Macaca fascicularis: one gene and its partner. The protein of the gene in region 1 purifies or fractionates together with the protein of each later gene. This does not show direct contact. Links are inferred from orthologs where the notes say so. Each region holds a gene or a part of one and is shown on either strand. Other genes may lie near its edges.

Evidence for each region.
Region 2: the proteins of XIAP (region 1) and XAF1 purify together in Homo sapiens (affinity purification with western blotting; 5 studies listed by BioGRID). This does not show direct contact. The link is inferred for Macaca fascicularis from reciprocal best matches to the Homo sapiens genes XIAP and XAF1.

The regions. Positions count from the first base shown.
Region 1 is NC_088395.1:130,086,211-130,092,575, reverse strand, and holds the start of XIAP (E3 ubiquitin-protein ligase XIAP), read right to left. Parts: upstream 3,590-6,365; 5' UTR 3,519-3,589; exon of another isoform or gene 3,255-3,518; 5' UTR 3,128-3,254; exon of another isoform or gene 2,870-3,127; intron 1-2,869.
Region 2 is NC_088390.1:6,804,580-6,810,201, reverse strand, and holds part of XAF1 (XIAP-associated factor 1), read right to left. Parts: intron 4,772-5,622; coding exon 4,430-4,771; intron 2,030-4,429; coding exon 1,973-2,029; 3' UTR 1-1,972. UniProt on the Homo sapiens protein: Seems to function as a negative regulator of members of the IAP (inhibitor of apoptosis protein) family. Inhibits anti-caspase activity of BIRC4. Induces cleavage and inactivation of BIRC4 independent of caspase activation.

The sequences.
Region 1 (6,365 bases):
CTCACAGCGACCTCTGCCTCATGGGCTCAAGTGATTCTCCTGCCTCAGCCTCCCAAGTAGCTGGGACTAGAGGGGTGCACCGCCACACCCAGCTAATTTTTGTATTTTTAGTAGAGATGGGATTTCGCCATGTTAGCCAGGCTGGTCTTGAACTCCTGACCTCAGGTGATCTGCCCACCTCAGCCTCCCAAAGTGCTGGGATTACAGGTGAAAGCCACCGTACTTGGCCCTAGTCTTCACTTTTTAAAAAAACATATATTCTTACCTACAAAGAGTCTACAATTCTGATTTGTTTGTTTGTTTTGTTTGAGACAGGGTCTCACTCTGTTGCCCAGGCTGGAGTACAGTGGCCCAATCATGGCTCACTGCAGCCTCCACCTCCCAAGGCTCAGGTGATCCTCCTGCTTCAACTCCCCAAAGTAGCTGGGACTACAGGCACAAGCCAGCACGCCTGGCTAATTTTTGTATTTTTATTAGAGAGAGGGCTGCGCCATGTTGCCCAGGCTGCAGATATTTTCATTGTATCAATTTCTTTTTTTTTTTTTTTTTTTTTTTTGAGACAAAGGTGCACTCTTGTCACTGAGGCTGGAGTACAGTGGTGCGATCTCGGCTCCCTGCCACCTCTGCCTCCTGGGTTCAAGCAGTTCTTCTGCTTCAGCCTCCTGTGTAGCTGGGACTATAGACGCACACCACCACACCCGGCTAGTTTTTTACTTTTAGTAGAGATGGGGTTTCACCATGTTGGCCAGGCTGGAACTCCTGACCTCAGGTGATCCACCCGCCTTGGCCTCCCAAAGTGCTGGGATTACAGGCATGAGCCACAGCGTCAGGTGTCAAATTTTTGTTGTTGTTGTTGCTTATTTAAAACGGGACCAAATCAGCCGGGTGTGGTGGTGGGCACCTGCAATCCCAGCTACTTGGGAGGCTGAGGCAGAAGAATCACTTGAACCCAGGAGGTGGAGGTTGCAGTTAGCCGAGATGGCGCCATTGTACTCCAGCCTGGACAACAAAAGCGAAATTCTGTCTCACACAAACACACATACAAACAAAAAAAGGGACCGGCCGGGCGAGGTAGCTCACACCTGTAATCCCAGCACTTTGGGAGGCTGAGGCCGGTGCATCGCCTGAGGTCAGGAGTTCGAGATCAGCCTGGCCAACATGGAGAAACTCCGTGTCTACTAAAAATACAAAAATTAGCCGGGCATGGTGGCGCGTGCCTGTAGTCCTAGCTGCTCGGAAGCCTGAGGCAGGAGAGTCACTTGAACCCAGGAGGCGGAGGCTGCAGTGAGCCAAGATCGTGCCACTGCACTCCAGCCTGGATGACAGAGTAAGACTCCGTCTCAAAAACAAACAAACAAACAAAAAAACACCATGCTAATCTTCTTTGAATTGTTCCAATTTTAGTATATGTGCTACCACTGAAGCAAGTACCCAAATCTGATATTCTAAATGTGTTAAAAGTTTGCTACATTATTTGATAATCAAGAAGCTTAGGACAATTTCTAAAAATATATGACAACTAGTAACATATTATTTTTACTATCTTACATTAGGAGAGAGCAATACAAGAAAATGAAACATGAGTATCCAATAGAGGCCTGCTTTGTCAGCTGAGTTGACCTGAATCATACTGGATTTTACAGTACAAACCACTGATATGTATAAATACATATATGTGCATAAATATGTGTATGTACCATTGGTATATATTTGCCTATGTTGATATATATATTTGTGTGGGAAGGTGTGAACTTTAAAACTTTTCAATTATGAAATCAATACAAATTTATAACAAATTCAAACCGTACATTAGGTCATGTGAAGTGCAAAGTAAAAAGTCTTCTACCTCTCTTCTCCATAAGTAACTACTGTTAACATTTTTATTGTGTATCCTTCAAGAAACTATCTAGGCAAATGCAAGTATACACACATACATGTGAAGGTGTGTATATAAATCTAAACTGTTGCCACTTCTTGAATGTGGGGGTGGGGGGGAAGCTCAAGTACTCCATAAGCATGTTAAATACATTGAAATACATAGAAAGTGGTACCACAGTCACTGGTACAAAGTATTATACTCTTCAGAAATGTGTGTTGAATTGAATACATTTAATTTTCATGCTTGGAGGCGATATGGAGCAACTGTGCAAAGTGATGGGCAAGAAGCCAGATAACATGGGTTCTAATTTAACTAGTTGGATAGCCTTAAGCAAGCTATGAAATCTCCCTAAGCCGTTGTTTCTGGTTTTGTAAAAGGACAGGGTTTGACTAAGATCCCTTCCAACTCTAAAATGTTATAATTCTAAGATGGCCGTCTGTAACACTGTTCATTGACTGTAATAAATATTATGGGGAAAAAAAGGAAAAGAAACACTACTGAAACCTCCAGTCTTACAAATTTCTGTGAGTCATTAAACTATCAAAGTATAGTTGTGACAGAACTAGCGACATAATTATATTTGAAAGCAAAGTAGTAGATTATTAAAATCTGATTGGTTGGGGTTTTTTTTAACAAAGCTTGGGTTGACGTTTTTCCTTTTTCGGAGGTGGAGAGTGCTACTGCTTAGTTTGAGAATAAACACTCCCCTCCCCGAAAAGAAAATAATTTAAGTGTTATGGAGTTAAAATAATGAAACAAAATCAAATTACATTTTGTTTTACAGAACATGCCGGAGAGGTGACTGGGAAAGCAGATTGGAAAGAATTACCAGCTAATTTCCTCTTCCGGAAGCTCTTTGGCCCTTATTCTTTCTGTTTCATATGCCCTCTCCAGACACACTCCACCCTGCTCCACACAAGCCACAGGTATCACAAGGGGAGGAAATCCCTTTGATCATATTTTTTAAAAAAGTTATTTGCCTCAATTTACCTTAGGTGTCACAGGGTTTAGGAAGGCAGTCCCGCGGGCCTGAAGTCACCCACCCACTCACCCACGCCTGCCGTCGGCAGTCCGAGGAACCCGGGCAAGCAGCCGGGGCCAGGCCACCTCTGCCAGGCGGGCGCGGCCTTCCCGCCCTCCCCAGCAGCGCCGGCCCGAGGGGAGTGGAGGGGAAAAGAAGAGAGGGGAGGGAGAAGAGGGTAAGGAGGGAAAGCGGAGGAGGCGAAAGCCTACACAAGCTGTACCCACCGCGCCAGGACAGCCGGCCCGAACTGCCCCGCGGCGATCAGCTCGGTCCAAGGGGAGGGTCCCGGAGGAGGCGCGGCCCGAGCCCCAATCTGGAAATGCCAACTCCGTTCTGCGGCCTGGCCCCAGCCTAGGTGAAGGAAACGGAAGTCCCTTCGTCTCCCTCACGCGCCTCCACCGGTCTGCCCATCCGCTGGAGAAACCCGGAGTCGTGAAACCCGAAGTTTGTCCACGTCAGGGCCTCAAAGAGACACCAGGCGCTGTCCGTCAGTCTCCGGGCCCGGGCTGCGCCACTGGGCCCCGGCTGTGTCCTTCCCACCCCCGGCCGGGAGGTCAGCCTCCTGCCCTGCAAAGCCCCTCCTTCTTCCCCCCCCTCCGCCATTTTCCAACTTACCACTTGAGCCGGGCGTCCCTCGATGAGCGCCACGCCGGCTCCGGGCACCGCCAAGGTCCCCCCACCTTCCCGAACCGGAAGGGGGCAGTAAGAAAAAATGAGGCCCTTGCAACCCCTAACCCCACCCCCCCGCCCCCCCTCCCAGCTGGAACCCAGAACCTGACCTAGCGGGCGCACATGCGCAGTGAGCACCTCGTACTCTCCGCCCCTAGCTCCTGCGTTTCTTCTTTTGGCCTCAAGGATGGTTTTTCCCACGGTTTTTACCTGTTGGGCCCTGGGGTTGAGGAATAGGGGAAGAAAGGCACAAGGACGGAAAAGAGGAGGAGAAGGGGCGAAAATGTTGAGTTCTTACTATAGATCAGGTACTGTGTTAGGCATATAACGTGGTCTTTGTTGTAATGTTGACAACCCTGTAAGATAAGCACTGTCTCTGGGGATTTAATAAGCCCATTTTACAAAGGAAACTGAGACCCAGAGGGGATAGCTATCCCAGTATCACGCGGCTAGTAAGGTAACTGAGGTTAGAATCGGATCTTTTTCCAAGAAGGAAAGGATGAAGGGGATGACAAGAAAAGGAGACCCTGGGGGAATGGCGGGGGTTAAGATTGGGAGGTGAAGGGAAAATTAATAGAGGAAAAAGAAAGCAGATGGACAGGAAACAAAGGAAGTCTGTGTACATAAAATGCTGAAATAAATCCTGGATTTATTTCAAATGCGTTGTAGGATTGTCAGATCAACATAGGAATTTTTGTTTCAGGAAAATGGGATCTTACAGGGTAATGTGGTGAGATGATGGATTCTGAATATTTCATTTCAAATGAAATCAAGTGATGCAAGATATGATCCTCCCTTCACAACAAGGGAACTTGGGAGGGAGGAGAGGAAAGACTTTTCTTAAAACTCTTAGTTGCATGTTTATTCTCCCCTTGGGCACCCTACCCTATCTTCTAACAAATCAGAACTACTCGTTGTGCCTGCCCCCCCATCCTCGTACACAAAGCCTTCTCTGATTTTCTTAGCTGAAGTTAATCCCTTCATGCTCTGAACTCTAGTGGCACTTCTCTAATTTTTGTTTTTGCTTTTTTTTAAGCACTGTTTTTTTCTTGTGGTAAAATGTACATGACATAAAATTTACTGTTTTGGCTGGGCGCGGTGGCTCACGCCTGTAATCCTAACACTTTGGGAGGCCGAGGCGGGTGGTTCACCAGAAGTCAGTAATTCGAGACCAGCCTGGCCAATATGGTGAAAACCCGTCTCTACTAAAAATACAAAAATTAGCCGGGTGTGGTGGTGTGCACCTGTAATCCCAGCTACTTGGTAGGCTGAGGCTGGAGAATCGCTGGAACCCGGGAGGCGGAGGCTGCAGTGCCGAGAGCACACCACTGCACTCCAGCCTGGGTGACAGAGCCAGACTCCGTCTCAAAACAAAGAAATAAATAAAAATACATAGGACGGCCGGGCGCGGTGGCTCAAGCCTGTAATCCCAGCACTTTGGGAGGCCGAGATGGGCGGATCACGAGGTCAGGAGATCGAGACCATCCTGGATAACACGGTGAAACCCCGTCTCTACTAAGAAATACAAAAAATAGCCGGGCGAGGTGGCAGCGCCTGTAGTCCCAGCTACTCGGGAGGCTGAGGCCGGAGAATGGCGTGAACCCGGGAGGCGGAGCTTGCAGTGAGCTGAGATCCGGCCACTGCACTCCAGCCTGGGCTACAGAGCGAGACTCCGTCTCAAAAAAAAAAAAAAAAAAAAAAAAAAAAAAATACATAGGACGGCCACGGTGGCTCACGCCTGTAATCCCAGCACTTTGGGAGGCCGAGGCGGGCGGATCACGAGGTCAGGAGATGGAGACCATCCTGGCTAACATGGTGAAACCCCGTCTCTACTAAAAATACAGAAAATTAGCTGGGCGTGGTGGCAGGCGCCTGTAGTCCCAGCTACTAGGGAGCCTGAAGGAAGGAAAATGGCGTGAACGTGGGAGGCGGAGCTTGCAGTGAAGAGAGATAGCGCCACTGCACTCCAGCCTGGGTGACAGAGCAAGACTCCGTCTCAAAATAAAGAAAGAAAGAAAATTTACCATTTTAACCATTTTTCAGTGGCAATAAGTGTATTCACATGGTTGTGCGACCATCTCCAGAACTTTTTTGTTATACTTGGCACTTAAATTTGTCCCTCTATTATGGAGCAGAGTGCTTTCTGCCATGTAGTATATATAGCACTTGTGTACACACCTTATCTCTCCTATGTTGTAAGCTCATTTATGGCAAGATCTATGTTGAACTCATTTTTGTAATTCCTATTCCTCCAAAACCCTTAGAAGTCATCTTTAATTCCTTTCTCTCATATCCCACATCCAATCCATCAGCAAATCTTGTCATCTCTATCTTCAGAATGAATCCAGAATATAACCAATTCTCGACTCCACCATTATGACCTTAGTGCATCTCTCTCGGACTGTAATAGCCTTCTCACTGGTCTCCCATTTACATCCTTGCTCCTCTCCAGTCATTTCACACAATGGCCAGAGTTATCCTCATGAAACATGTCAGTTCATGGCCATTTCACTGCTCAGATCCCTTAATTGGCTTCCCATTTCCCTCAAAGTAAAAGCCACAGATTTATAATGACCTACCAAGGCTATCATAGCCACCAAAATGACCACCAATGGTCTTCACCTCTTGCTATTTACATCCCGGGGTAGTTCTCTTCTATAATGAACCAGGGCTGACTGTGTCATCAGTAGTATATGGTAGAAATGATAGCATGTGACTTACAAGACTAGGTCATAAAAGGCATTGTGGTATTTGCCTTGCTCCGTTTTTTGATTGGTTGCTGTAGGGGAAGGC
Region 2 (5,622 bases), on another chromosome or scaffold:
TATGACTTTGCTATTGTGAATAGTGCTGCCGTGAACATTTGTGTATATATGTCTTTATGACAGAATGCTTTAGATTCCTTTGGGTATATAACCAATAACGGAATGGCTGAGTCAATGGTAGTTCTGATTTAAGTTATTTGAGATATTGTCAAACTGCTTTCCACAATGGCTGAACTAATTTTACATTCCTACCAGCAGTGTATAAGCGTTCCCCTTTGTTTGCAACCTCACCAACATCTGTTACTTTTTGACTTTTTAATAATAGCTATTCTGACTGATGTGAGATAGTATCTTGTTGTGGTTTTGATTTGCATTTCTCTAATGAGAAGTGATGTTGAACATTTTTTCATATGCTTGTTAGCCACGCGTATGTCTTCTTTTGAAAAGTGTCTATTCATGTCCTTTTTCCACTTTTTAATTGTGTTGTTTGTTTTTTGCTTGTTAGCTTATTTAAGTTCCTTATAGATTCAGCATATTAGACCTTTGTCAGATGCAGAGTTTGCAAATATTTTTTCCCATTCTATAGGTTGTCTGTTTACTCTGTTGCTAGTTTCTTTTGCTGTGCAGAGCCCTTTAGTTTAACCATGTCCCATTTGTCAATTTTTGCTTTTGTTACAATTGCTTTTGGGATCTTTGTCACGAAATCTTTGTCCATTCCTATGTCCAGAATGGTATTGCCTAGGTTATCTTCCAGAGTTTTTATAGTTTGGGGTTTTACGTTTAAGTCTTTAATCCATCTTGATTTTTGCACCTGGTGTAAGGAAGGGGTTCAGTTTCAATCTTCTGCATATGGCTAGGTAGTTATCCCAGTACCACTTATTGAATGGGGAGTTCTTTCCCCATTGCTTATTTTTCTCTACTTTGTCAAAGATTAGATGATTGTAGGTTTGTAGCTTTATTTCTGGGCTCTCTATTCTCTTCCATTGACCTGTGTGTCTGCTTTTGTACCAGTACCATGCAGTTTTGATTACTGTAGCCCTGTAGTATAGTTTGAAGTTGGGTAATATGATGCCTCCAGCTTTGTTCTTTTTGCTTAGGATTGCTTTGGCTTTTTGGGTGCTTTTCTGGTTCCAAATAAATTTTAAAGCATTTTTTCTTTCTGATTCTGTGAAGAATGTTATTGGTAGTTTGTTAGAAATAGCATTGAATCTATAAATTGCTTTGAGTAGTATGGCCATTCTAACAATATTGATTCTTCCTATCCATGAGCATGGAATGTTTTTCCATTTGTGTCATCTCTGATTTCTTTCAGCAGTGTTTTGTAATTTTTGTTGTAGAGATGTTTCATATCCCTAGTTAGCTGTATTCCTAGGTATTTTATTCTTTTCGTGGCAATTGTGAATGGGATTGCGTTCTTGATTTGGCTCTCAGCTTAGATGTTGTTGGTGTATAAAAATGCTACTGATTTTTGTACATTGATTTTGTCTCCTGAAAGTTAGCTGAAGTTGTTTATCAGATCTAGGAGCTTTTGGGCCAAGACCATGGGGTTTTCTAGGTATGGAATCATATCATTTGCAGACAGAGATGCTTCGACTTCCTCTCTTCCTATATGGTTGCCTTTTATTTCTTTCTCTTGCCTGATTGCTCTGGCAAGGACTTCCAGTACTATGTTGAACAGGACTGAAGTGCCTTGTTCTAGTTCTCAAGGGTAATGCTTCCAGCTTTTGCTCATTCAGTATGATGTTGGCTGTGGTTTTGTTATAGGTGGCTCTTATTATTTTGAGGTATGTTCCTTCAACGCCTGGTTTGTTGAGGGTTTTTAACATGAAGTCAAGCTGAATTTTATCAAAAGCCTTTTCTGTATCTATTGAGATGATATGTGGGTTTTGTTTTTAGTTCTGCCAAACCTTTTCTTTTAAAGCCCAACGAATAAAACCCATCACGTTTCACAAGACCACCCCAGCAAGCAGGCAGGAGAGCTAGTATTAAAAGTGAAATCTTTTGAATTTGTAGTACCTTTTCTTTTCCAAATCTAGCTGAAATTTCTCACTTGTTTTCCTTTCGATGAAGCTAACCACCGGCATTTCTCCTAAGAAATAGATATAAAAAAGTTTGATATGGTTAAAGTAGGAAGTGCTAGCTCCTAGAATATCTCTGGATATTGCTGTCCCTTGTTACAGAGCATGAGCCCTGCCCAAAGACTGGAGTGTAATGGCACAGAAATGGTCAGGAGCCCACTGAGCCAGGAGTACAGGAGGCTTGCAACAAAGTTTAGCAGGGGCCTGTTGCTATCACTGGGTGGAGGGACAGATGGGAGAACACTCACACCATGGAATCATAGGCAGCCATTAATAAAAATAAAAATAAGCCATATTGTTTGGCTTGTAGGGATTTCCTTGGGTATTGCTGAATTTACATTAGGATGTAAAGAAATGTTGGCCAGGCGTGGTGGCTCACGCCTGTAATTCCAGCACTTTGGGAGGCCGAAGTGGGTAGATCACCTGAGATCAGGAGTTCAAGACCAGCTTGGACAACATGGTGAAATCCCGTCTCTACTGAAATGCAAAATTAGCTGGGCTTGGTGACAGATGCCTGTAATCCCAGCTACTCAGGAGGCTAAGGCAGGAGAATCGCTTGAACCTGGGAGGCAGAGATTGCAGTGAGCCAAGATCCTATCACTGCATTCCAGCCTGGGTGGACAGAGCAAGGCTCTGTCTCAAAAAAAAAAAAAAAAAGAAAGAAAAAAAAAGTTAAAAAAATGTATATAACAGGACTCCAAATGTGTATGTTTGTATGTGGTCATGTAAGAAATTGCTAAATAAAATACAGGGTGCCCCAGTTAAATTTTAATTTCAGCAAAACAATCATTGCATGGAACATACTTATACTAAAAGCAATTCTTTGTTTCTCTGAAATTCAAATTTGACTGACTGTCCTGTATTTTTATTTGCCAAATCTGGCAACTCTGTTATATAAGGATGGAGAAAATTGTGAAAGGAAATATACCAAATCGTGGGAGGCCAGGAAAAAAGGCACTAGTAACACCCCCAGCAAATATGAAATCAACGCATTTTTGTAAAATTATATGCTTATGTGCATACATAGATGCATAAGGAAGTTAAAAAAAAAGGTTTTGGCCTACTAAGTCTTTTGTAAGGAGCATGCATCATATACTAAGTGAAAAAGGCAAGTGGCAGAGTAATAGGTATAGTAAGATAGTATGTGCAGAAAAAGAAACGAGTAAAACCTTGTTTAGGTTTGTATACACAAAGAGAGAGCTTTGAAAAGATGCCCATAAGACTGTCCAAATTGGTATCTCAGGGTACGGGTTGGAGAAGTAGGGTTAGCTTTGCTTTTATACTTCTTTAGATGATATTATGTTAACTAGCTCCAACAAAATCTAGTACTTTTGTATTTTGAAAAAAAAAATTTTTTTTAAGTGAGGCATTTAGTCTGGAGCTTAAGAGCATAAACTTTGGAGCTATATACATGGGGACTCAGGCTGGATCCTGCCACCCTCTAATTGTACAGCCCTTGGGGAGCTACTTTACCTTATCACTAAAATGGGGATGAAATACATGCCTATTGTTTATGATGAAGATTATAAAGAGCTCTGCATTGTAACTGGCACACCATGGTTAACAACGTCTAATGTCAATTGTTGTTATTACTAGAAAATAACCTAGGACGGGCGGGGCGCGGTGGCTCAAGCCTGTAATCCCAGCACTTTGGGAGGCCGAGACGGGCGGATCACGAGGTCAGGAGATCGAGACCATCCTGGCTAACACGGTGAAACGCCGTCTCTACTAAAAAATACAAAAAACTAGCCAGGCAAGGTGGTGGGCACCTGTAGTCCCAGCTACTTGGGAGGCTGAGGCAGGAGAATGGCGTGAACCCGGGAGGCGGAGCTTGCAGTGAGCCGAGATCACACCACTGCACTCCAGCCTGGGCGACAGAGCGAGACTCCATCTCAAAAAAAGAAAATAACCTAGGATGTAAAAATCAGGATATTCAGGGAGATGCCTACAAACCCTGATCTTCTTGAAGCAAACCTTGATCTGCTGGAGGTAAGCCACCGACTGGCTTAGGATCTTGACCAAGACATCTCATCTCTGGGCCTCACTGGCATGTCTACACCATGAGAGAGATAGACTGGGTATCCACTGCTTTATTCGTTTACTCAACCGTTTTGGGGCACTTGCTGTATGTCAATCCCTGGCCTAGAAGCTAAAGACACAGAGATGAGGGACCTGGCTCCACCTTCAAAGACCTGGCTTGAGTCAAAGGTGACTCAGTTTCTCGGAGGTGATGCAAATAAACCAGGTGGTAAGTGCTACGAGAGAGTGCATTTGGGCACCCAGAGAAGCAGGAGTCAGAGAAAAGAGCCTTTTCAGTCACAACATTTGTTGTGGCTTTCAGATGTTGGATTTTTTAGAGACACTGTGCAGATGGTGTACAGCACGGTAAGCAGAAAACAGAGGCTGAGTACCTGATGTTGATTTAGGATCGGCAGGGGAAGCAGGATGCCACACTGAGAACATCTCCTTAGAATGTCATAGGCTGTTCTATCTCCTCTAGGGGAGCTGGTCCTGGGTTTGGGCTCTGACATCAAAAGTGGATCCAAGGTTTTGTTGTTGCCTCTTGGTGCTTTCTTTGATGAACTTTCAGAATGAAGAGGAAATCTGTTTATACTAATTGTCTTCGGACGAACATCTTTCTTCATCGTGGAGGTTTGATTTTCAGCAGCTTGACTTGGAAGAGATGAAGGAAGAATTTTTGGCTTTCCAACAGGAAAGCATTTCTTAAACTCTGAGTCCGGACAACATTTACCCTGCAATTGTGAATAATATATCAAATTTTAAAACGACTTCAGCTTTAATGGTCAGAAAATACAGTAGACTAGATAACACAAAAATTCCCACTGTAAACACTGTTATATGCTGTATAAAATGTGACAGACATTCAATTTAATAGCTGGCTTTGCGGGAAAGAAAGAAAATTTTGCATTCCAGGAATGAAGGTCTGACTGGTTGCTATGGTTTGAATGTGTCTCCTCCAAAATTCAGGTGTTGCCAACGTGATGGTATTAAGAGGTGGGGCCTTTAGGGGTGATTAGATCATGAAGGCTCCTCCCTTGTTAATGGGATTAGGGTCCTTATAAATGAGGCTTCATGAAGCATTTGGCTCCAGCCTTCTACTCTTTTGCCTTCTACCATGCTAGGAGGCAGCAAGAAGGCCCTCACCAGACACCAAATGGTAGGTGCCTTGATCTTGAACTTCCCAGCCTTCAGAGCTGTTAGAAATAATTATCTGTTCTTTATTATTACCCTGTCTGTGATGTCCTGTTATAACAGCACAAATGGACTGGTTAAGCACAGGAGTTGACACTGGTTATGGGAGACGCGGGGTCAATTTTGTAACTAGGGGCTTGGATGAGAGGAAATCCCATTCACACAGGAGGGGAATTGGAAGTAAGACTCTATTGACCCTGCATAAAACTGGAAGCTTTAAAGGGTAAATTGTGGTGGGTAAGAGGAAAAGTATCACCTAATGAGAAAAGGAAGGTGGCAAGGAAGCCTTTCTTTCTTGGGCCGGTATTTGAGTGTGGAGAAGAAAACTCATGCCCCTGAAAACTCAAAATCACAGGTCCATGCCATTCCTGTGTTTGGCATTAGGATTTAC